Lepisosteus oculatus: one gene and its partners. The protein of the gene in region 2 interacts with the protein of the main gene of each other region in a pairwise test. Links are inferred from orthologs where the notes say so. Each region holds a gene or a part of one and is shown on either strand. Other genes may lie near its edges. The genes, in order: ccdc146, necab2 and tex11.

Region 1 (7,593 bases), on a different chromosome or scaffold from region 2:
GGGTCTGGGTCAGGCCAGGTCATCCAGAATAACTTGTGAAGATTTCAGGGCATAAAAAAAGAAAAATGAGGAGGCAAACTGAACCTTTCCAGCAAAACAGCAGTTGTTCTGCTGACACAGGCTTTTGCGCTGCATTACCTTAATTGACTGCAGGAGGCTCTTTCCCCGCTCTGTTAATACTCTGCAGTTGTCACACTCCATCTTCTGAATCTTCACATTTCCTGCTCCAAATGTTGTAATATGCAGATCTGAGTAGAAACAGAAAATGCACACGTCATGAAATAAAGCCATCAAATTGATTTCACAAAAAAAATCAATGAGCAGAACAACGGAATTGATAACAGTTTTCATCGTTGCTACAGTATGTTGCGGATCCATGTGAAGCTTAATCCCTTGGAGAGAAACACAGATTCGTGATTTTGCAGTACCGCAGGATTTGCCCTCTGCTGTTAGCACACGGTTCCCTGGACACTGCAGTCTCTGCCTGAACACTCCACCTCCTCACATTACAGAAAGGAGCATATTTACAGAATGTTTATAAGAGATTGAGCGAGACATTTCTGAATGTTTTTTCCTTTGTTTGTTCTGCCTGAGAAATGCCGCAGCATTTACCGATTTCATGTACATATTCAATAATTCATTTCTGTTTTAGTTCAACACAGTATCAAGAATACCATTCATCCAAAAAACAAAGTGCAGCCACAGAGGACAATGGAAAAAGTGAGCACCATTTAGTCGTAAAACTATAATTAAAATACAAGTAATAGGTTTATTCCATGCTGAAAAGAGAAGAAAGAAAACACACCATTTTGGCCGTGGAGAAAGAATGAGTTACTAATAAGAAGTAGCCATATGGTCCAGTTACTGTAGCTCGTTTGTTAGGATTTAATAATTCCTTGAAAAGATCCAGGATACCAAAAAATGTGCCTGGGTAGCTTTCAAAGGACTCCCATAACACTTTATGTACTTAAACTTTCAATCAACGTAATTTTTAAAGATTAAACTACATACAACCTCACAAACTACTAGACATGCGTCTTCAGAAAGAGCAATTCTTTCTTTTGGACTAAGAGCTACAGTAAGTAATGAGTCAGTAAAACCTGCTCTACTGCAATGTCAGTCAAGGCCCTGTGCTTTCCAAACTGGACTCCTGAATCTCTAAGCTGGTTTCCTTGCAATAGCAGCCCTATCCAGACCTCTCCTGCTCATGCTAATTTCACCTCTTTACCTCAGAACCTGCAGCTCTTGCTCTCCAGACTCTTCACTGTCTATACTGTATACCTATCGCTGGCCAACCACCCCCCTGTCCTCTGTGTTGGGTGTGATTGCGTCTTTCCTCCATACCCTTGCCTCCAAGTGCTGAAATCATCTCTAGCTACCTTCTATCACCTCCTTCGAACCTGGAATTCACTAACCTGATTGCAGTTCTGAATTAAAACCTATTTTTAACTGCAGCAGTGCTATACTTCATATCACCTGCCCCCAGCTAGAGGATCAGATTCCACCTTTCCTGACCTCCCTCTGTATACTATCTGCAGTGTGTGCAATGGGTGACAGGAGGGCAAATATTGAAGGTGAAAAATGAACGGTTAGTTTTATTTTGGAAAACATTGCTTTTATTTTTGAAGGTGAGCAATGTTTGCATTAAAATGAGCCCATAAAAGTAAGCAGCAATTCACTGTTACACTGGGTGTAAAGAGATCTGCAAACCATTCTTGAGCCTGGACACCTCTAACACACAGCTAACAGCCGACAAATCAGCAGGAAATGTCCTGGCCTTTATATTCAATTAATCAGTCTGGGATCTCTGAAGGCAATGTTGTGTTGGCACTGCTGCCCAGCAACTCCTTTAATCTTGTGGGCAGTTCAGACAACAATTTTATAATTCCCTGACAGGTTTTAATTGTTTTGTTTCTTTATATATTACTATAAAACGTATAACTGCTTAACCTTATCCCCCTAATTATTGCCTTTCAGATTGTTGATCTGATAAGTCTTGTCGAAAGTACTGTACATGATAGGGAACGGGGTAAGATGGTATCCATGCTATGCACAGGCTTGGGCCTGACTCTAAATTCCTTCAAAACAAAGTGCTACAAAATTTGTCATTGCCAGGTTTCAAAAAGAACACTGCTGCCCTGCAATCAGCAAACTGCCAGGTTAATATATAACTGGCTTTTGGAGTAAAAAAAGCTATTTAACTATATACAGTACAAATCTGTATTTGTAGGGAACTGCTTTCACAATATCCTCCAGGTAAAATGGGAAGACAATGTTTTACTGTAATGTTTTACCAAATGATGTGAGTAAATAGGTCCACTGCCCATCAGAGCTGCTGCAAGTAGCTACCAGTTCACAATTTAAAACTGGCAGGCCACTGAAGCTAGGCAGGTGTGAGCCTGGTCAGTACCTGGATGGGAGACGTCCTGAGAATTCTAAAGTTGCAGCTGGAAGAAGTGTTAGTGGGGTCAGCAGGGGGCGCTTACCTTGCAGTCTATGTGGGTCCTAATGCTCCAGTGTAGTGACTGTACTGTAAAAAGATGTCATCCTTCGGCTGAGATGTAAAACCGAGGTCCTGACTCTCTGTGGTCATAGAAAATCCCAGGGTGTTTCTCGAAAACAGGAGGGGGGTTACCCAGGCATCCTGGCCAAATTTCCCATTGGCCCTTACCAATCATGGCCACCTAATAATCCCCCTATATGAATTGGCTTCATCACTCTGTTCTCCCCACTGATAGCTGATGTGTGGTTCTGGCTCACTATGGCTGCTGTCGCATCATCCAGGTGGATGCTGCACATTGGTGGTGGTGTAGGCCAGTCCCCATTACCTGTAAAGCGCTTTGAGTTCAGAAAAGTGCTATATAAGCGTAAGGAATTATTATTATGAATTATTATTAAAACGAATGGACATTAATGAAGGGAACAGATGTGATAGGACTACTGAGAGACTCTGATCAACGAGTGATGAACTACTGTAGCTAAAAATGTATCAACGGAAGAAGAATCGCCTTAGTTGAAACACGATAAGGTTAGAAAGAAATGAATCCCCAAAACAAGTCAGCTCAAGTCTAGAAAAACTTGGACTTAATGATTTAATGGAGAATTCTCCCTACTGATTCTGAAAATTCAAAGATAGAAAGAGCATACAGAACAGCAAGCACCACGAAAAAAGACCTCCCTGTTTGCCAAGACAGGCCGAAAGGAACAGACAATAATTGTTCTGCAATACAACAGTAAAAACGATTAAGGTGGAAGTAAATATTTTACAAAATAACAGATAAAGAGCAAAAGTGGATATAATAAGAATACATCTGTAACCTGTCAATGCTATAAGGAGTGCCACTAGCATTGAGTGATTTTAGCAGAACTGACACTGAGGTTTTAGGGCTGGGGCAGCTTAAAACTAAGAAATTAACAGCACTTCACTATTCATACAGAAGAAAATGATGGGCATTATCCATAGCCTCTTAGCTTGGATATGTTATGTAATCTTAAAGGACACCATAACCACGGACTGAATAATTATGCTACTTCACAAAAGGAGAATACGGAACGAGGAAATTTCAGATCTGAAGTGCACAAAACCAGTCCTGAAGAGGTTTCTGATTTTCAAGCCCTTAATTACTGACCTCATTATTTTCTTAATAGGACAGGCTGAATCCATTCCTTGTTTTTGGGAAACCGGAGACTAAGGAGATCTATAACAACTGCTGGACAGCCCTGCTATAGAGCAATTGTCGAGAAAGATGGACCCAGTCGTTTCCTCTCATTTGCAACCTGTCTCGAAACCATCTATTAAACGGAAGTCCTTCATTTGTTATCCTTTTTATTAAAGCGTATTTATATACATACTCACCACTTTTAATTGGAGCAGTCACTTCCACAGACACGTTACTATTGACCTTTTCTGACAAAATCAACAATTCCCTTTTCTGTTCGTAGTACTTGACATGAAAGTTGTCTAGTTTTAGTCCTTGATCTGCGCTGGTGCCATGAACAGTTATGAAAGCCCTGTCTGCCTCCGGGAAAGCGTGGAGGTCCAGGGGTCGTACAGACACATTGCAGGGCAACTGGACTCTCACAGTACTGAAGGGGTTGACTATCAGAGTCCACTGTTTCAGAGGCTTGTTCAACTCACGGGCGGGACTATGAAAACAAGTTGTTGTTGACAGTCCTCTGAACGCGTACAAGAAAAACGCGTTCGAAAAAATATTTGTTTTATAGTTTGTGAGAGCTTTCCATCGCGCAATCTCCTGGTACAGTCCACGGAACAATTTCTGGGATACAAAATAGGAAACAATCATGTCTGCTTCTTAAATCTATAAAAGAATAAAAGAAATTTAGAGCAAAACATGCACACCACGAGTTTTTTCCAAAACATTGAAAAGCGTCACACAGACCTCCCCGGACATGGACAGAGAGTGCTTCTGGGATTTGGAGTTTTAAGCATGTTAAAATATTAACAATGTCTGCTCGAACAAAACTTTAAAAAAAACGATTTGTAACAATACGATTTATAAAATAGTTATGTTTAATTATTTTGAAAAAATACTATATTTCATTTTCAGTGTGATAAATGTGATACTTAATTTTGGATACAACAATTACCGTGATGGTACAGAATGACTACAATGACCATATCGCCTTACAAATACGTTTGCAGTCTCGTCTCTTTGTCGACATACTGACAGACTAAGGTTTTTCAATAAAGCTACTACACAATTTCCCTGACAGGACAACAAGGAATGTCCGTCTTCGCTCCACGCCTTTTTAAATAAAGAAACAATAATACAGGCTTCCAGTATTTTTACAATATTGGCATAGAAATGCCAGATCAGTAACAAGTGGCACCTCCTTGGCCTTCACGTTAGGGTTCTGGAGTAGTAAGAGATTTCTTTACAACAGTGAATCATTTTTTAAGAGTTTAAAGTGCCTTTTACTCTAACAGTACATTTCGGACCGCTTCAAAACATTTGCCTGTGTCTTTATATATGAAAGAATAAAGGCGATAACACCTTCGACTAAACCATAGGCTATACTTCGGGAGATTTTTTGGGATGGTCGCTTTCATTGGCTGCTGTCTAGACTGGCACTTCAAATACCAACCAGATTCAGAAAAGGCTTTGATTGCGTGTTGTCATGGAAACGCAGAAGCAAACTCCGGCGAGGCCGAGATTGAGTAGCAAACAACTCGAAGATCTAAAGACACTCACCAGGCTTTTAAAAAATACATATTTGCAAATATTTTCTTTCATATAGGCTTAACCAGGAGACTGTAAACATAAACATAGGGTGGAAGGTGCTTTTGAGCGTTTCCCCAGGTAAGACATTTTAAACAGATTAGCCCTTTTGAAGCTGTCATTCTCTTAAAATAGTCATTATTGGTAGGTGTTTATTATTTATACTGTATGTATTCAGCGCAGAAAAAAAAGTTTGATTATAACGCACTGAATAAATTAAGATATGCATCCATTTTATCACACGTTTACGTAACGGAGAATTTACTGGAGTAATGTGTGTGAGTTTACCATGCTCACGGGTATAATAACACTGACGTGTCGGTGGGGACTCCACAGCCGCAGGTTCCACATGCTCACCACTCGCTCCACGAGGAGCTTGGGGTTCTGTGCGCCCTTAAAGTTTTAATTGTGGAATTAAAATGAACTTCATCGAGCTTCTTGTTTTGCATGACTGACGCTGTTCATCTCAAATGTAAAAAAGTGAGGGTTGAGACGGCGCTTTGAAATGGATGGGCTGTGCTCTTTTGATAATCTGATCACCAGTTTAACGTATCTGACGATTAGTAAGCTTTCTTTAATCAGCTTTATTTAATTGGCTAAGGTTATTATTAACGTAATTATTTATGTTAACAAAATAAGTGTTTATTAATATTACGTCACTGTGAAAAAGTACAGTAATTGCTCACGAACAACACAGATGCAGTATGTGCACCCATAACGTGGATGCACTGTAATACCGTTCTTCAGTATCTGTTTGCTTCCAGGAGGTGGCAGTAAATGAGAACTGTTTGAACACTTGCACAATGTTAACACGTATGCCGAGATCGTTGGGGATCATATCTGCAATACGTCAAGTAATCTCAAACGAAGTGTTTACTGTGCTGTAAGGGTTAATGAAAGCAAAATGCGATTTCTTGTATATTAACGCCAGTCCCACCTGAATGTCACTTTAATTGTTTTTATTTTCTTTTCTAAAGGTTCGCAGTGGTAATTGCAAAATTGATGAAGGTCTAAAACTACGGTGTTTGAAATTAACTGTGATTTTGTAAATGTTTACATCTGCATTACTTGTATAATGTTATGCTGAATTATTTAAAATACCTGAAAAACCGAGACTACATGTTTACACATGGCATTTTGGAGAGTACTTATGTTATGGTAAGTTTTTCTTAAATCACGCATTGTGCATTGTTTAACAAACACCAGTTATTGGTTAATTTAAATCTAGAGGATTGGATTAATTTTAACAGTGATGGCAAAACATTTGCATATATATACTGTATGTGTTCCGACACCACTGCAGTTTGAAGACATCCAGTCGAAAAAAAGTCCAGTATTATTCAAACTTTAAAATCACTATTTTCTGAATATATAGCTTTCAACAAAAGCCAAGATGTCCGGACTCTTAAGGATGTGTTCTACACTAGTAGGCAGCCCGTTGAGCAGAGCTTGCAAACGGATGACATTAAGACTGTTAGTATCTCGTCTCATCCCTCGCTTGCTCTGCATGAATCATGCTGTACCAACCGCTGCCTTCAAACTGACGTTTTTGGAATCGTTTTTGCAGAGACTTAACGAAATGAGGAATCCCCTCTTCCCACATTCAATCGCACTATTCAATAATACGCAATTGAATGTTTATGGGCAAGTGCAATTAGTGGATATTTGCAAAAATGAAGGGGTATGTGCAATTACAGGGGCTCGAGCTGATTGAAGAGTGAGTCAATTTACAGGTTCTGGTAAATTGCGTGGATTCCTTTAGGAGTGGTGTGTAATGACTATGTACAGTATGTGTTGATTTGCTTTATTTAATGTTATATTTATCTGTTCTATTAGTATGTGTTTTGTATCTCGGTGTATAAAACTAGCTGCTTGGATGTAAACAAATTTGTGAGAAATCAGACAATAAGGTATCACATCATATAATGTAAATCATATCATATGTAACATACATTTATGTGAATTTTGAGCAACAGTTATACATTTACTTCTGCATATTCATTTTGCAGTATTCCACTGTATGTTCCATTTTCCTGTTTCCTCTTTGATGAACTGGAATTAGAGTATGGAGAAGAAAGAAGTAAAGGAGATTTTGTACTTAGCTGAGCCATGATACGTAATTTTCTCTCAATACTGTTAACACCAAAGCACTTAATTTATATAATTGTATAAGGCTGCCTTCATTAAAAAGTATGTCTGCCAAATTTTCATTAAAACCGACCACACTGAAACACTGAATGATCATGGTGAGACCTGGAGGTGGGCCAGAGTTTAACGAACCCATTCTTCTTAAATCAATGTTCCGCTGTGCAGTGGGAACCTTAATGGGCACATTATGCAAGACTTTCTTCTC
Region 2 (7,512 bases):
TAAATATGGGGCAGCAGATTGTACAATTGTCACCACAGCCTGAAAGTTATTCCTTTGTTGGAGGCACTTGTTACTGATGAGGTTTAGGATTAACAGTAACTTACATTACAGAGTATCAGCTTTGTGCTGATAGATACTGTAAGTGTAGGAGAAGCCTGGCTCCTTCCTTGTTACAGAACCACTGCTACACTGTACTGTCATCTCTAATTTGGACCTACAGTATAAGATAAGAGATCAGATCACTTTATTGGCCACATACAATTTCTTGCATTAGGAATTCGACATTTCACAGACCCCAGCTTGCTCTCCATGAGGACAGACAGACAGAGAGACAGAGAGAAGCTGGGGGTCAGAGCGCGGGGTCAGCCATTGTACGGCACCCCTGGAGAAGCTGGGGTGAAGGGCCTTACCCAACAGAGTAGGATTCCTCTGCTGGCCGCAGGATTTGAACCAGCAACCTTCCAGCCACAGGCGCAGATCCTGAGCCACAGAGCCACTGCTTCACCCTTTTTAAGACATGCCTGCACAATCCTCTTTACAGGACTACCGGGAGCTCTAAGTCTCAGTCTGTAAATTGCTGCTCATTCTTTCAAACTCTCCACCAGACACTCTTCAATATTATTTCACCCCCACCTGTCTGAGGTGTTCCATCCCTCTGTATGCACACCTGAAGCAAAGTGCCCAGGTCCTCCAGACTCCAGCCCTCACAGGTGACAGCTGAGACAGTGAATGTGTGTGGATCTTTCTTAGCAGAGGAGAGGGGAGAGTTGCGGATGGTGTCCTCTCTCTTTTTGTTTTCTAACTGCTGGTGCTGTGGACAGGACATCTTCCGTCTGCCACTCTCGTGGGAGACTGTCCCATGAAGGACGGAAGAGCTTTATTCCTGCCGGTGGGCGAAGGAGAGGAGGGAAAGGGGCACATGGACGAAGCCATCCACGTCTGTGGGTCTCACCTGGCGAATCACTACCCTGCTGTGGGTGGCATCAGGTTGAATAGGTGGGACCGCAGGTGCTCGGACACTCGTGCGAGAACACACAACTGCCCATCCTCTCCCTTCACTAATGAGATACAGCCTGGCTTGTCTTCTCCAAGACATTATTGAGAGATTACATACAGTAAAAGCCGACCGAGAGAAGACTAATGGTGATTCTCCCGAGACAAATGTGGGCTCTGGACACCTTCTGTCTTCAAATGAAAAAAGATACAGTATGTGACACCTCCCTGTACTTTTAAAAAACGCGAAGAAATAATCAACGTTGCAGAAGTATCAACGCGTTTCTGTTTCATACCATCGATTTGCCAGTGCCTGTCTATCCGGAGATGTGATCCATAATGTTTTTAAACACAATTGCGCGGCTATGCGAGCAGAGTATTCAAAAGAATGAAAGCAAAAAAAGTTGTTTTCGTTTTGTATCAGAATAAAATGCCCGTTTTTGGTGTAAGGCAATTGCTAACAAAAGATACAAAAAGCACTACAAAACATTAAGAAGGGGGCATTGAAAACAACAAAAACAAGGGAAAATAGGTTGAATTAATTTTCCGAGACGCCATTAACCTTTTTAGCTCAAGTAAGAAGTGTTGACGATGTGAGCAGTGCTGTCTTGTGCAGGACGGCCTGGGCTCTGGACAGCGCTGCTGTTATCAAGCCTGGACGGGCGCGCTCAGCGCTGCTCCAGCTGCGGAGAGTTCAGGCTGATCTGTGAAAGTCGCCAAACTGTAGGAACCACAGCAATGTTGTCTGTCTCGGCTTGCTGGGTTCACCCGAGCTGTTAAATGCATTTCTGAACACAGAATCTGACAGTCACTGTACCTTTGCTGATCACACGGCACAGTTATCAGATTTGATCTCATTAGATTTCTACCTTTGTACAGCAATTGAATTGAGGGCACGAGGCCACGTTATCCTATATACTGTAGTGAATTTTAATACGACTCTTTCACGATTCATAATTGCCCGATCAACGCTAGGAGCTCCGCAATAGAATAGCCTTAGAATAGAAGAGAACAAAATATAGCCTTAATTATCTGAAGGGTTCAATTCTGGCGTCTCTTTTTGTCAGATTTCTGTACTTTTTAATTTCAGTTTGAAAACTTCATTGAAATTAAACGTTTAGAATTTCTAGTTTCACCGTGGTTTTTCATATTTAAAGTTTTGAAGATGCACTATTTGACATCTATACCGGTCTCTAGTGTCTTTTGAAACAGTTGTTTAAATCCCTTCCAAAGACAGGGCAAATGACGGAAAACTATTTTTTTATATCCCTTCTTTTCAGCGAAGATGCACTCTAATAGCTTAGGTTTGACATTCGCTTTTAATTTAATACAACAAGATCCCAGCTTTAATATTATGTATACCCCTGTACATGTTTGTATGTTTACGATACAATGTATAAACCTAGAATCTTAAGACAGCCAACTCATCAAACAGTCTACTGCCGGATTCCCGCAAAAGCCTATGTCCCATTTTCGGATCTGTCGGTGCGAACACGCAGAGGCTAGCAAGCGCTGCAAAATCAAAAGCAAATTTCGACCACACTGAGGGTTTTTGTTATCTTTTTTTCCCCCGTTTTATTTTCTAACGCCTCAGACGTGCGCGCCCGCGTTGTGCAAGGGAACGCAGTTCAAACACCCTATCCTACCCCCCCCGTTAGTCTCTCGGACCCTTCCTGCCAGCCAGCACCCCGCTCCGCTACAGTGAGATACCTACATCCAGGATGACGGAGATGCCCTTCCGAGGCTCCGGGTTGAAGAACTGCTCCCGGGCAGCCCCCGGCTCCTCCTTGAGGAATTCTCGGGGAGAGATGTTCTTGTTGTCGCTCATCTTCGTCACTATCCAGCGGACTAGCCCGTCTATTCCACCGAGCTGGGCTCCGCTGCTGCCTGACTGTGCAGCCGTTGCTGTCTCGCTGTTCTGAGCCCCGAGTTTGGGTTGTTCTTTGTGGAGCAGTTTGTGGACGCCGTCCCTGCAGTATCGGGCTGCCTGCTCACACATCCTTTCGCCAGAGAGCATTCATGCTGAGAGCTATGGGGTATTCCCCTCCCACCCCGCTTACATCACCCCGCACACACCCCAAAAACACACCTCTCTCATTTTACATCATTACGACAGGGGGGTAAAAGCTTTTTGACTTGCGATGGCGAGCATTTCCAGCTCATACAACATGAAACGGCCATACAAGCCCCGCAACTTCTGAGAAGTTTCGTTGGCGTTAGTATCGCTGGACACAACCTTTCTAGGCAGTTCTGAAAGCAATAAAAGGTGAGCCCAAGTAGAAACGACACCTTACTGCTTCTGAATTTTTGTTTGTTTTTTAAATTCACGGTTTATTTTGTTTTGCTTAGTTATAGCAATAACAACAATCTGTACCTTTCAATTGCGTTTCATGTCTGAGGGTAGTTTTTTTTTCTTTCTTTTCCGTCGTCTTTACTTGTCGAGTATCAGCGCAGGGCTGTTGTGTAGCTCTACAACAGCAGACTGCGTCCACTCCCCAACTAGGACACTGCAACGCTGAGGATAAAAGCGTAGACCGTGTGTTTTGTTAAGGTTTGTGGCTTAGATAGGTCAGAACAGCTGAACCTTTTCTGCCGAAGAAAATCATAATGTTTTACATTTCCAAAAGCAACTGAACAAATCCACGCATTTCTTTGTCAGGTGTGGCGTGGCTATCAGGACCAGATGACACTAATCTGCGTTCATAGAGCGTTTTCTCCGAATTCAGTGCTTCGGTTCCTTCATTTGAAAAGCTGTCGACTTTAAAGGTGTAACCCGTGAATTTAATAAAGAATAACATTTGCGCGCATAGCAGCTGTATATTCTATCATACGTACTGGTATCTAATGCTTTTCAGCTGTCATTTATAGGTTATTCCTTTTAAGTAAGTGATTACATTTGCAGCAACCCTTTCATGAGTACAGCCCCTTATCTGGAAATTCAGACGCTTTCTGTGTTAGACAGGGGTAGCCAGTTAGACTGTACTGCAAAGACAATGTCAATGTGACGATATCCATGCAAAGGATCAGTGCTTACAGTGGCACTTTCATGAGATACACCACTAAGCCTTCTTCTATCACTGCTTGTACGCTCTTACTCGCTTTTACACAGGGGTATGTGTCACTTATAGCACAACGATGTCGGGGTTTTTAAATAGCCCTTCCTGTACAGTAAATGTAAAATACCACATTACAGTGTTGACACACAGTGTGTGTCCTGTGATTTGTTTCCCCCTTTGTTTTGTATTATAGCTGTAGTGACTTGTGAAGATAGAAGACACATCCCTCTCCAAGAATGTAAGTATCGATAGAGGCAAGGGATGCAGACACCTGTGCCGTTCCCTTTCAAGTCCAGCACTCTCTGAAGAGGACTGCTTCGCCCGCCCAGGGTGGCATTTAAGTTAAAAGGCGCCACGACTCTGCCCTTTCATGCCGTTAATTAACGGACTCCCACCGAGCCCTAATGGCAACTTGAAGCAGAAAGACATAGCTGGCCATTCAGTGAGCTTTCTTCCCAGCTCGGATTGCGTTAGCAGGCGTTGCTTCGACGCTCCGCTCCTGTTGATTCATAAAAAAAAGAAACCAATGGGAAATAAATAAAGGATGCTACACTGACATGGATGTCCCAAGCAATTAGATCCAGGTTTGCTTGGTCAGTGCAGGCAGAGCACGTAAGATAAAACCAACCTAGACCTCCTGCACTCGCTTGGGAACTAAGAGACATTAGCTGAGGGTGTTATATCGTGCATATACTGTAACAAAAGACATTAAACCAGCTAACAGAAGTAATCATACGAGAACAAAAGGCACACAATAATATCGACTTAAAAGTAATGGGCAAAATTCTTCACATGTCAACTGATACAACTGCCCATTATAATATACTGCCGTCAAGCTGAAGGGGGTTGATTGAAATAAAGGCAGAAGAAAGCTTACCCCCTTGATGAGAGCAGCCATTACTGATTTCATCATGCCGGACGCAGACCAAAGCCCTCAAATCGCAGTGAAAACTGAGATTATATATACTGTACTTGTGGAAAGGCTCCAGGAATTGGCTGGCAATCAGGCCAAGAGTGGGTGTCAGTGTTATTAGAGGAGCTGTGCATTTCTTTCTCCCAGGGGGGCTGAGGCCTAATCACAGCGGTGGGGCCCGTTGGGTTTTATGAGCCCAGGGTCTGTGAGGTGTTTTTTAACTCGGGTTCGTCAAACCCACGCTGCCCTGCCAGCCCATGGTGAAGACGTTGCCTGCTCTTGTTACTTCTCAGGCTGGAAAGCCCAGAGGGTAACTGTTATCCAATCAGAGTGCTCCGTCCGGGTGCCGGGCAGAAGGTACAGTGCGTCGCCCACAGGCCCTAGCAGCCGTGATGAAAGCACCCAGAGAGCATCGTGAACTCCCCGAACCAATCGCTTTGTCTGAGAGACAAGCTTGAAACTGACCTTCAGCTTGTGCCTGTTTACTGATCCAGCATCAAGCGAAAACTACTCGCCTGCATCTCAGCAGGGAGGTCTTCTCTTCTGCGTCCCTGTTCCATGATTTTGTTCTTCGTACCGTTGCCAGGCAGTGTCTAATGAGGCCCACCCCAGCTGTAACACAGAAAGCACAATTACAAAGAGCAGAAAATAAAGGAAGCACACCGTGTGTTTCTGTTGGCAAATTCTGCTTCAGAGTTGATAAAAGCATATTGTAGATATCTATGAAGAAAAGCAAAACCCAGAAAAATGATTACTCTTTGGAATCACTAATACGAGAAGGTTAAAAGGAAAACAGGACAAATGACAGAGACAATTGTTGAAAAACAATTGCTGCTGCAAATTACAATTGCAATTACAGTGAAATGATTCAAGACTGAATTGCCTGGAGACAAATCATCAGCTGGCACTTTGGAAGCAAAAGAACAGTGTGATTCTAAAATATCCAAAATGGAATTTATTCACTGAGATATTAATGACCAACATGCTAATCAGACAGCACACTAATTACTGTACGTTCCCGGGAAATTCATTATTCACGCTGAAAAAAGCTGCAATCGCAATGATAAAGGCATACTGTACACCTCATCACTTCAGCCATCAGCGGACCATTGAAACTGAAGTGATGCTTCATCTCCGCAGACAAACTGCTAACCTGTCTGACTCTCAGCTCTCATCTCACTCTGGCAACTTTAACAGATACAGCCCAATGGCACTCTTTCCACTAATTGCTTTTCGCACATGCCAGATTCACAGTTTGCTTTGTTACTTTCACCTCGGAATGGCTCAGAGCGAGCGGTCCCCTTTCTGGGTGCTGTTTGCACCGTTTGCCGTGAGCAACGTCTCCCTTCACAGTGGCCGGTGTTGATCTGCCCCGGTAAAGGGCAGAGCACAGGGGTGACTGCTCTAGACCTGTCAGGGCAGCTGTGCACTGCAGCTGGATGTGAAGATGAGTGGGTGGCTGAGGAGGACAAAAACAGTTGCCCGTGAAAGAAAATGTCAATGAGACGTCACCATCTATCACCGTTACTGTCCACCGGGGGCAAGAGGAGCCCGCTGTGGAGGAACGAGACACAAGACACATGAGAGTGTGGGGCAGTGAGTGAGACAGGGCTCCCACAACCTCTCCAATACATTTCAAGAGGAATAATAACGCTTGAGAATCAGGCGCTTTGTGAATGTTAGGAGTATTTCAAGTGGGATAGTTTGGGGTGAACCTGCTTGGATGAGGGGCAGCCGTCTGGCCAGAGGACGAGGAGGCTGGGATCCCCATCCAGAGTGAGGAGTGACCAAGGGGCAGCTGCAGAGGTGGAGATGGGGTGGAGGAGCTATGCAGCAGACAAAATGGAAAAAACAGGCGTTTTTCACTCATTTTTCATTGTCCTTCCTGAACTTCATTTGAGATCTACCCTCTACACAGCGGGTACTATATCTAGAACAAACAGGCTTTCAAAATGTCACTTTCTGGATTCTATCTAAATCTTCGCATAAACACTGGTGTGAAATATTCATTAAGATATTGTCCATTTCCTTTTCATTAACAGAAATTATCCCATTAGTAAATTTAAGATACTTCATCATTTGCTGTACTTTTGCTGTTGCAATGCTGATTTTATATTTTTGCCTCTATTGCAATATTCTTTTCTGTCTCTCTTGCATTTCTAATATCCTGGTGTTTCTTATGCGTGCCTTTGCTTGTACTCAATTTCTTTCTAAATTGGAAATTGTACTCAATTCATTCTATAAAGTGCTTTCTTTCTTCTTTTACATATTATTAATTTACTTAATTTCCAGGCACTGGTTTTCCTTCTTTAGGTCGTAAATCTGAGTGTTATGCACTTCAAGCAGAATATCTTTAAAATCGTGCTGTCCGTTCTCTACTGATTCCATACCTGGCCAGTTGCATTTTAGTTCTATTAAATTATCTCTTGCATTCAGTCTAAACTACAGTTTCAAAGCACACTTCAAAACACAGCTTAGTACGACCAAAGTTCCCTAAAGGCTCTCTGACCTCTGTTGTCCTCACTCAATTTTGATTTTTCTAAAATGACT
Region 3 (7,337 bases), on a different chromosome or scaffold from region 2:
TTTTTTTTTTTAGAAAAACAACATGATTAACATGCTGCTGTTTCTCTTTGGGTTAAATTGCCCTTGGAGGGGTGTTTTTTTTCCCGTGATTAGGCCCTCAGCTCCCTGCCAGTTCCCCCGGGACAGCGGTGATTGCAAGATAAGACTGAAAGGCGAACAATTGGCGGAAGCCGGGAGCTGAGGGGAATGAGCTTCAAGACGTTTTATTTTAGAAGCCGGGCTGCGAAATGCCATTTAGAGGCTCAAACAATTCTGCTCGCACAGCTTGAAGCCCTTCCTTTAATCCGACCACGCAGCTCACATGCACAAACGGAGCGTAGCAGGGGCAGGACAGCCTGGCTGCAGGGAGGCCAGCAGACGCTGCCTCCCTGTCCGCGGGATATTCTTTAGTAGGGAGCAAGGGGAGAAGTGAGCAGCTCTTGAAGGGCCATTACTTTGCTATTGTGCTTAAATGTCCAGAAGCTGTTTCGTAAACGAGCAGCGATAGGTTTTTACTTTTCACTAAATAATGTCAAGCTTCTCCAAGAGCAATAATAAGCTAAATGTTTACTCTCGAACAAAGCTTGTTTCACCAGTTTGCAAAGATTTTGGCATGCCTGCTGAATGTATGTCTTATACACGTTTCGGCCTTTGTTTAGAACACAAAACTAATTCCTTAGCGAAACACCCAGATTCCTGAGCCCTTCTTGGGTTGACAGATTTTGACAGTGTAATTCTTTTCCCATTAAAGAAAACAAACCTACACAGTATAAGAAAAATTGAGGAAATTTAGTAATTCATTCCATGTGATGCATACTACCAGCATATATATTCTTCTGTTTCCCACAAAGCTGAGACTTATTAAAAATAGTCTCCTTCAAGCATTTTTGTAGAATCAAAGCCAGCCTTTCCACTTCTGTCATAAATGAACGGTGCTAAAATTGTAGCAGAATGATGATCTCATTGGTTTACGGGCTTTTCAGTGTAACCTGTTAGAAACCCACTAACACACAACCTCGGCCGTCTGCAATAGTTTTAGTACCTACGGCAAACGAGCACAACTAAACCGAGAGTAATGCCCAAAAAGACAAACTTGTGTTTTTCATTTCTGATGTCGTTTTAGTAGTCCCGAGAATCAGTGAGTGGAAGTTATTAACTGAAGTTCGGGAAGGACAACAACGACAAGTCAACCTCACTGAGCTGCACCTGATCACCATCATCACAGAAACTAGCTACATGAACGGAGCTCAGACACCCCATTCATCTCCAGCATCCCTCCTCAACCCATCTCCATCCCTCAGCTGCCCCTGGTCACTCCTCTCTGAATGGGGCCCAAGTTCTCCGTCCTGCACCCCAGCAACTTCATCCAGACATTCCCAGTGCACCTGCAGTGGCTCCTGCATGTCCCCTAGTGAGATCAGAGTGCAGGCGGGATGGGTGCCGGTCTGCTCCACCGGGGTGACTCACCTGGCTGAGCGAACGGCAGGCTGCCCACGAGGGGTACCCTGACAGGACCCCCGCTCCCTCTTCTCCCCGCGAGGGACGAGCCAGGAGCTGCTGCAAGGAAGGGTGAGGGTGCGAGAGGGGAGGTGAGAATGGAGCTCGCAGGTGGGAGGAGCGGGGTATTTACTGTACATGTGGGCAGCCGGAAACAGGCAAGACCGGGGCTTGGCCTCCTCCTGAGCGTTGGTTCAAGACTACATCTGGTGTCTGAAGCTCTAGCGTGCAGCTAAGGAAAGGTTCAGTTTCATATCAGGAGGGGAGGTGGAGGGGGGGGGCTTCTTTTCTTCTGATACCTGCGAAGCTCAAAAGCCGAGATGTGCCACCGAGCACCAGCACAGATGGCACAGGCACAGGCACAGGCCTCAGGGACGATCACAGTGCCCCAGCGTCCAGCGGGATTGGGTCTGCCCTGATCTTTGCCCCCCCTGCCCCCCCACCCCCGCCAATGTGAAAGTCACACCCTTCCCGCGCGAAGCCATACATTCACGTGCTGTAGTTCGTGTTGAAGTTATAACAGCAAGCAAATATCTCTCAGCTGGAAACAAGGTCTGGACTCTTTCAATGACAATCTGTACGTGCACTTAACTATACCGTTTATATATTGTAACGCAACGGGGGCTCTGGCGGGCGCCCTTGCCGCATTTAGTCAGCCCCCGACGGTGGAACCCAGGACTCCCGCGTCTCTCTGCAGTGACCCAGCCCGGTGAGCCAAAGAGAGATCTCTCCACAGCCCAGTAGCTGTAGTCCTGCTATCGCAGGGAAGGGCGGCGACGTCACCGCTCTGGTACGCCGGCTCTTACACAGTGCCTGTCGGCCGTAAGCGTTACAATATTTAACCCTACAATACAGGTACAACGGTACTCACACAGGGCCAGAGCCCAGATTGACCCAAGAAATTACATTTGCAGGCTGAGGGCGGAGGAGAACATCAAGATTCCTGTCTCAGTTCACGTTGTATACCTCATCTGTCAGCACCGGTTCCCAACACTTCTCAGACATGAAACGTATTTACACGGCTTCGCATCGAAACAGCGATACTTAATTTGTCTCCTTTATGTTCTCCCACAGGCGTACCGGATTTTATACAAATGGTTTTGGGAGGCATGCGACGCCAGCATCATTTCCTATGGTGTAAAAAAAAACAACACAACTGGCCAAATGAATGACCTCTGATCACGATAAACAGACACGATAAATAGGCTGGGCCTCTGCCAAAAATATTCTAACAATTTCTTGCTCAACCAAAGAAAAGCAGCCAGAGCTCAGTGGAAGAGCTGACAGTACAGCGTTTTCATTTGTAGGCGGCAGAGGAGAACAATGGGCCTCTTCAGCGCAGATGAGATGAATGGAGTTCGGCGTGCGCCAAACGTCAGCAGAAACATTTTCCATTTTCCAGCCTGTGTGCCAGTTATCACCCATTAAAAAAGGAAACAAGGCACTACTGGGAGCCTCTTAGAGTAGAAGGGTGTGGTCTGAAATTCAGAACAGGGTGTCTGCTGTCACGGAGTTAGCTGAGTCTGACAAGTTATAACACTGCGGAGTTCTAATTCTATTCTAATATGATCTAATAATAATTCTTTACATATATATATAGCGCTTTTCCTTACACCCTGCTCAAAGCGCTTTACAGGTCATGGGGATCCCCACCAGTGTGCAGCCCCACCTGGATGATGCTCCAGTCTGCTCCCCACACACCAGCTCTCAGTGGGGAGGAGCGCAGAGCGATGAGATCAATTCATCATTCCACAACCACTCCACACAGGAGCCTTGATGTGAAACTGTGAACATGCACAATCACAGATGTCAACTCATAAGTAATCTTAGCTCATTGGCTAACAATGATTCTGCTCGTCCAGTGGCTATTCAGGGGCGGTGTGGTGGCTCTGTGACTGTGCGCCTCTGGCTGGAAGGTTGCTGGTTCAAATCCCATGGCTGGCAGAGAGATCTTACTCTGTTGGGCCCCTGAGCAAGGCCCTGAACCCCAGCTGCTCCAGGGGCACCGTATAAATGGCTGACCCTGCGCTCTGACCCCCAGCTTCTTTCTGTCTGTGTGTCTCATGGAGCGCAAGCTGGGGTATGTGAAAAGACAAATCCCTAAGTTGTATATGGCCAATAAAGTGATCTGATCAACTGATGAGCAGCAGGTCAAAGCCTCTTTGCTCAGCAGTGCCTTGTGAACAACAGACCAGTAGCTCCTACAGTGACAGATGCTTTACACACGCCAGGGAGAATTATAGTCATGTTTTCAACGGCGTTTTTATCGATCAATTCACGCGACTCGAAACACGGATTGGAATGAAAAGACTTTGATGTGAGTTCTTGCGGAGTTTTTTTTTGATTTAGCCAGAACAGATAACACGGGATCGAGCTCCCCCTAGCGGCGACTTGGATACAGACGGTTTCTCCGGGATAATATACTGACAACAGCAATAATAATAATAATAATAATAATAATACAAGTAACAGGTTTATTTCATGCTGAAAAAGAGAAGAAAGAACACACAACGTTTCAGCCGTGGAGCCTTCTTCAGGTGTGAATAAACCTGTTACTTGTTCCTCTACAGCCTACGGATGCTGACGCAGCTCCCCACCTGAAATAATAATAACACGTTTATAACCTTGGATAATTTCTAACATATAATTTTAAAATTATAATGAAGATATAAGCTTTTCACAATCAGTGGAATTTCGGACCAATATTCATGGAAGCCGGTTTTTTTAGCATTTAAACTTTAAAGGAAAGCGAGGATTAACTGCTTTGAGACTCCCGGGGAAACGGAACTCCAGGCGCGCGCGCGCGCGCGCGGCCCGGCGCGAGGCGCCGACAGGCTCGAGGCCCAGCTCGCGAGCTCGCGGCCGTGGTCGAGACGCCGAAAATATCAACACATTAAAACTGCGCGTCTTTTTTTTAGAGGGGTTTTAATTATTACATTTCAGCCAAGCAAACCTTTTGAAAAGCTTTACAGCTGCGCCTTTTCTTATAAACTCATCATATTTCTTTTAGCTGTCACCGACATGGACGACTTCATCTCGAAGGTTAAAGGTGAGGAATATTTTCGGTCTGAATTTAATTTAAACTCATGAGGGGAAAAAAATATGACTACATTTATATTCAAAATGTGTGGAAAACGTGTTTGGGGACGACATCACGTTTCACTGACGAGGACGCGATGTGATTTGTTTGTGATTGTATTCCAAATGGGCTTAATGACATCATTTCTTTTTCTCAAATGTGGGAGTTCAATTTTAACTTGTAGTCCATTTGTCCCGTAAAAACAAAACATCATAGTACAGGACATGTATTATTTTATGGTCGCTGGTTATTTTATGGTATGTCGCCATGAAGAAGATTAGAGAAGGAAAACTGACTCCAGAAACTCGTGGTGGGTCTTAAAAAGCGAACTTTTTAAATGACCGAATATTATAAAAAAGGGTACCATCAGGTTCCTTACTATTCATGTCTGTGAATTCATGTAATTCACGCGTAGACCTCACCGAGGAGCTGGTGCAGAAGCAGACGCCTGGCAGCGCGGAGCGGCTCATCGACAGACTGTTCGGCGAAGCGGCTCGTCTGGACGGCGAGCTGGCGGGGGAGGTGCCCCAGCCGCAGGTGAGGCTGAAGGCCTTATAGCGCCCTCTAGTGGAGAGACGGGGGTGTGGCGCTGGAGTGATATGCGCCCTCTAGTGGGAGAGACGGGGGTGTGGCGCTGGAGTGGTAGCGCCCTCTAGTGGAGAGACGGGGGTGGCGCTGGAGTGGTAGCGCCCTCTAGTGGAGAGACGGGGGTGGCGCTGGAATGGTAGCGCCCTGCAGTGGGAGAGACGGGGGTGGCGCTGGAATGGTAGCGCCCTGCAGTGGGAGAGACGGGGGTGTGGCGCTGGAATGGTAGCGCCCTCTAGTGGAGAGACGGGGGTGTGGCGCTGGAATGGTAGCGCCCTGCAGTGGGAGAGACGGGGGGTGGCGCTGGAATGGTAGCGCCCTGCAGTGGGAGAGACGGGGGTGGCGCTGGAATGGTAGCGCCCTGCAGTGGGAGAGACGGGGGTGTGGCGCTGGAGTGGTAGCGCCCTGCAGTGGGAGAGACGGGGGTGGCGCTGGAATGGTAGCGCCCTGCAGTGGGAGAGACGGGGGTGTGGCGCTGGAGTGGTAGCGCCCTCTAGTGGAGAGACGGGGGTGGCGCTGGAATGGTAGCGCCCTGCAGTGGGAGAGACGGGGGTGGCGCTGGAATGGTAGCGCCCTGCAGTGGAGAGACGGGGGTGTGGCGCTGGAATGGTAGCGCCCTGCAGTGGGAGAGACGGGGGGTGGCGCTGGAATGGTAGCGCCCTGCAGTGGAGAGACGGGGGTGTGGCGCTGGAATGGTAGCGCCCTGCAGTGGAGAGACGGGGGGTGGCGCTGGAATGGTAGCGCCCTGCAGTGGAGAGACGGGGGTGTGGTGCTGGAATGGTAGCGCCCTGCAGTGGGAGAGACGGGGGGGTGGCGCTGGAATGGTAGCGCCCTGCAGTGGGAGAGATGGGGGGTGGCGCTGGAATGGTAGCGCCCTGCAGTGGAGAGACGGGGGTGTGGCGCTGGAATGGTAGCGCCCTGCAGTGGGAGAGACGGGGGGGTGGCGCTGGAATGGTAGCGCCCTGCAGTGGGAGAGATGGGGGTGTGGTGCTGGAATGGTAGCGCCCTGCAGTGGAGAGACGGGGGTGTGGCGCTGGAGTGGTAGCGCCCTCTAGTGGAGAGACGGGGGTGGCGCTGGAATGGTAGCGCCCTGCAGTGGGAGAGACGGGGGAGGCGCTGGAATGGTAGAGCCCTCTAGTGGGAGAGATGGAGGTGTGGGGTTGGAGTGGTAGCGCCATTGTTTTTTGTGTGCAATGTATCTGATAGGAACAATCCAGTAAATGACATCAGTTGTACATCTTAAAAACCTCTTTACTCTCCATCAGTCTTATTTATAATAAAAAAACACTCAGAGTAACAGCCCTTTTAAAGTATTAATTCTAATACTGCCTGTTAAAGAAAAGGGAAGTGTTTTAAAAGTATTCAAAACAATGTGCTCAAAAACCAGGATGCAGGCACACAGTGTGTACAGTATTTTTAATTTCTCAGGCTGAAGAACATGCCATTAAGCTGTGGAACTGGGCTGTTACGAAACATGTGGGCTCTGCAATCACTGAGGAGCAAAGAGCAAAAGGTAACAAACTCATTCTCTCCAGATGAAATTTTAAATCAGCGTTATAAAAAACTACCAATGTACTCAGATTTGTGTTTCAATGTTTTATTGAGACCACAAATTAGCTGAATTTGCCAATCTTTTTCATAGCTGAATAGCCAGCATTGCTGTCTCAGTAATGTACTGTTGATGCATTGGTTCTAGGCTCCAGTGTAATTTACTCTCCTAATCTGTTTAATGCTTTAACGTTGCACATGTGGTCCTTTTCTGTTTAGATTAATTTAAAGCTTATTCTTTTCTTTAAAGTAATATTCAGGGTATCATGTTTTTAGACACATTACTGTTTTTCATTCACTGCTGTCTTTGGGTCCTGCTCTTTGTACAACATACGCTGCAGTACGTCATGTGGCTTGCAGACTGGCCTACGCGTATGAAACTAAAGACTTGTCAGAGGGAGCGATTCGCAGACAAATCCTGGTGAGTCCTTCCTCTTACCTGCAGACCTGTCGCATGCCAGACCTTGCTGGTCTGTCTAGTCTGTATTAGCATTGCTAGAACATACTATTCCTCCTGGGAGGAGCTAAGGTTGCTGCTGGAGGAGGTGTAAGCAGAAACAGTAGGGGGCGCTCATCCTGCAATCTGTGTGGGTCATGATGCCCTCGTATAGTAATGAGGACACTATACTGTAAAACGCCACTGTCCTTT

What was found.
Region 1: the proteins of necab2 (region 2) and ccdc146 interact in binary tests that used the Homo sapiens proteins (3 or more experiments, as listed by UniProt). The two-hybrid records come from large-scale screens. The link is inferred for Lepisosteus oculatus from reciprocal best matches to the Homo sapiens genes NECAB2 and CCDC146.
Region 3: the proteins of necab2 (region 2) and tex11 interact in binary tests that used the Homo sapiens proteins (3 or more experiments, as listed by UniProt). The two-hybrid records come from large-scale screens. The link is inferred for Lepisosteus oculatus from reciprocal best matches to the Homo sapiens genes NECAB2 and TEX11.

The regions. Positions count from the first base shown.
Region 1 is NC_090702.1:33,919,879-33,927,471, forward strand, and holds the start of ccdc146 (coiled-coil domain-containing protein 146), read left to right. Parts: upstream 1-4,522; 5' UTR 4,523-5,321; intron 5,322-6,380; exon of another isoform or gene 6,381-6,398; intron 6,399-7,593. Other genes in the region: protein FAM185A, read right to left, coding at 139-248, 3,857-4,304. UniProt on the Homo sapiens protein: Essential for sperm flagellum biogenesis and male fertility.
Region 2 is NC_090715.1:4,213,289-4,220,800, forward strand, and holds the start of necab2 (N-terminal EF-hand calcium-binding protein 2), read right to left. Parts: upstream 3,052-7,512; 5' UTR 3,011-3,051; coding exon 2,708-3,010; intron 1-2,707. UniProt on the Homo sapiens protein: May act as a signaling scaffold protein that senses intracellular calcium.
Region 3 is NC_090703.1:50,026,585-50,033,921, reverse strand, and holds the start of tex11 (testis-expressed protein 11), read left to right. Parts: upstream 1-4,306; 5' UTR 4,307-4,497; coding exon 4,498-4,525; intron 4,526-4,970; coding exon 4,971-5,092; intron 5,093-6,568; coding exon 6,569-6,653; intron 6,654-7,029; coding exon 7,030-7,109; intron 7,110-7,337. UniProt on the Homo sapiens protein: Regulator of crossing-over during meiosis. Involved in initiation and/or maintenance of chromosome synapsis and formation of crossovers.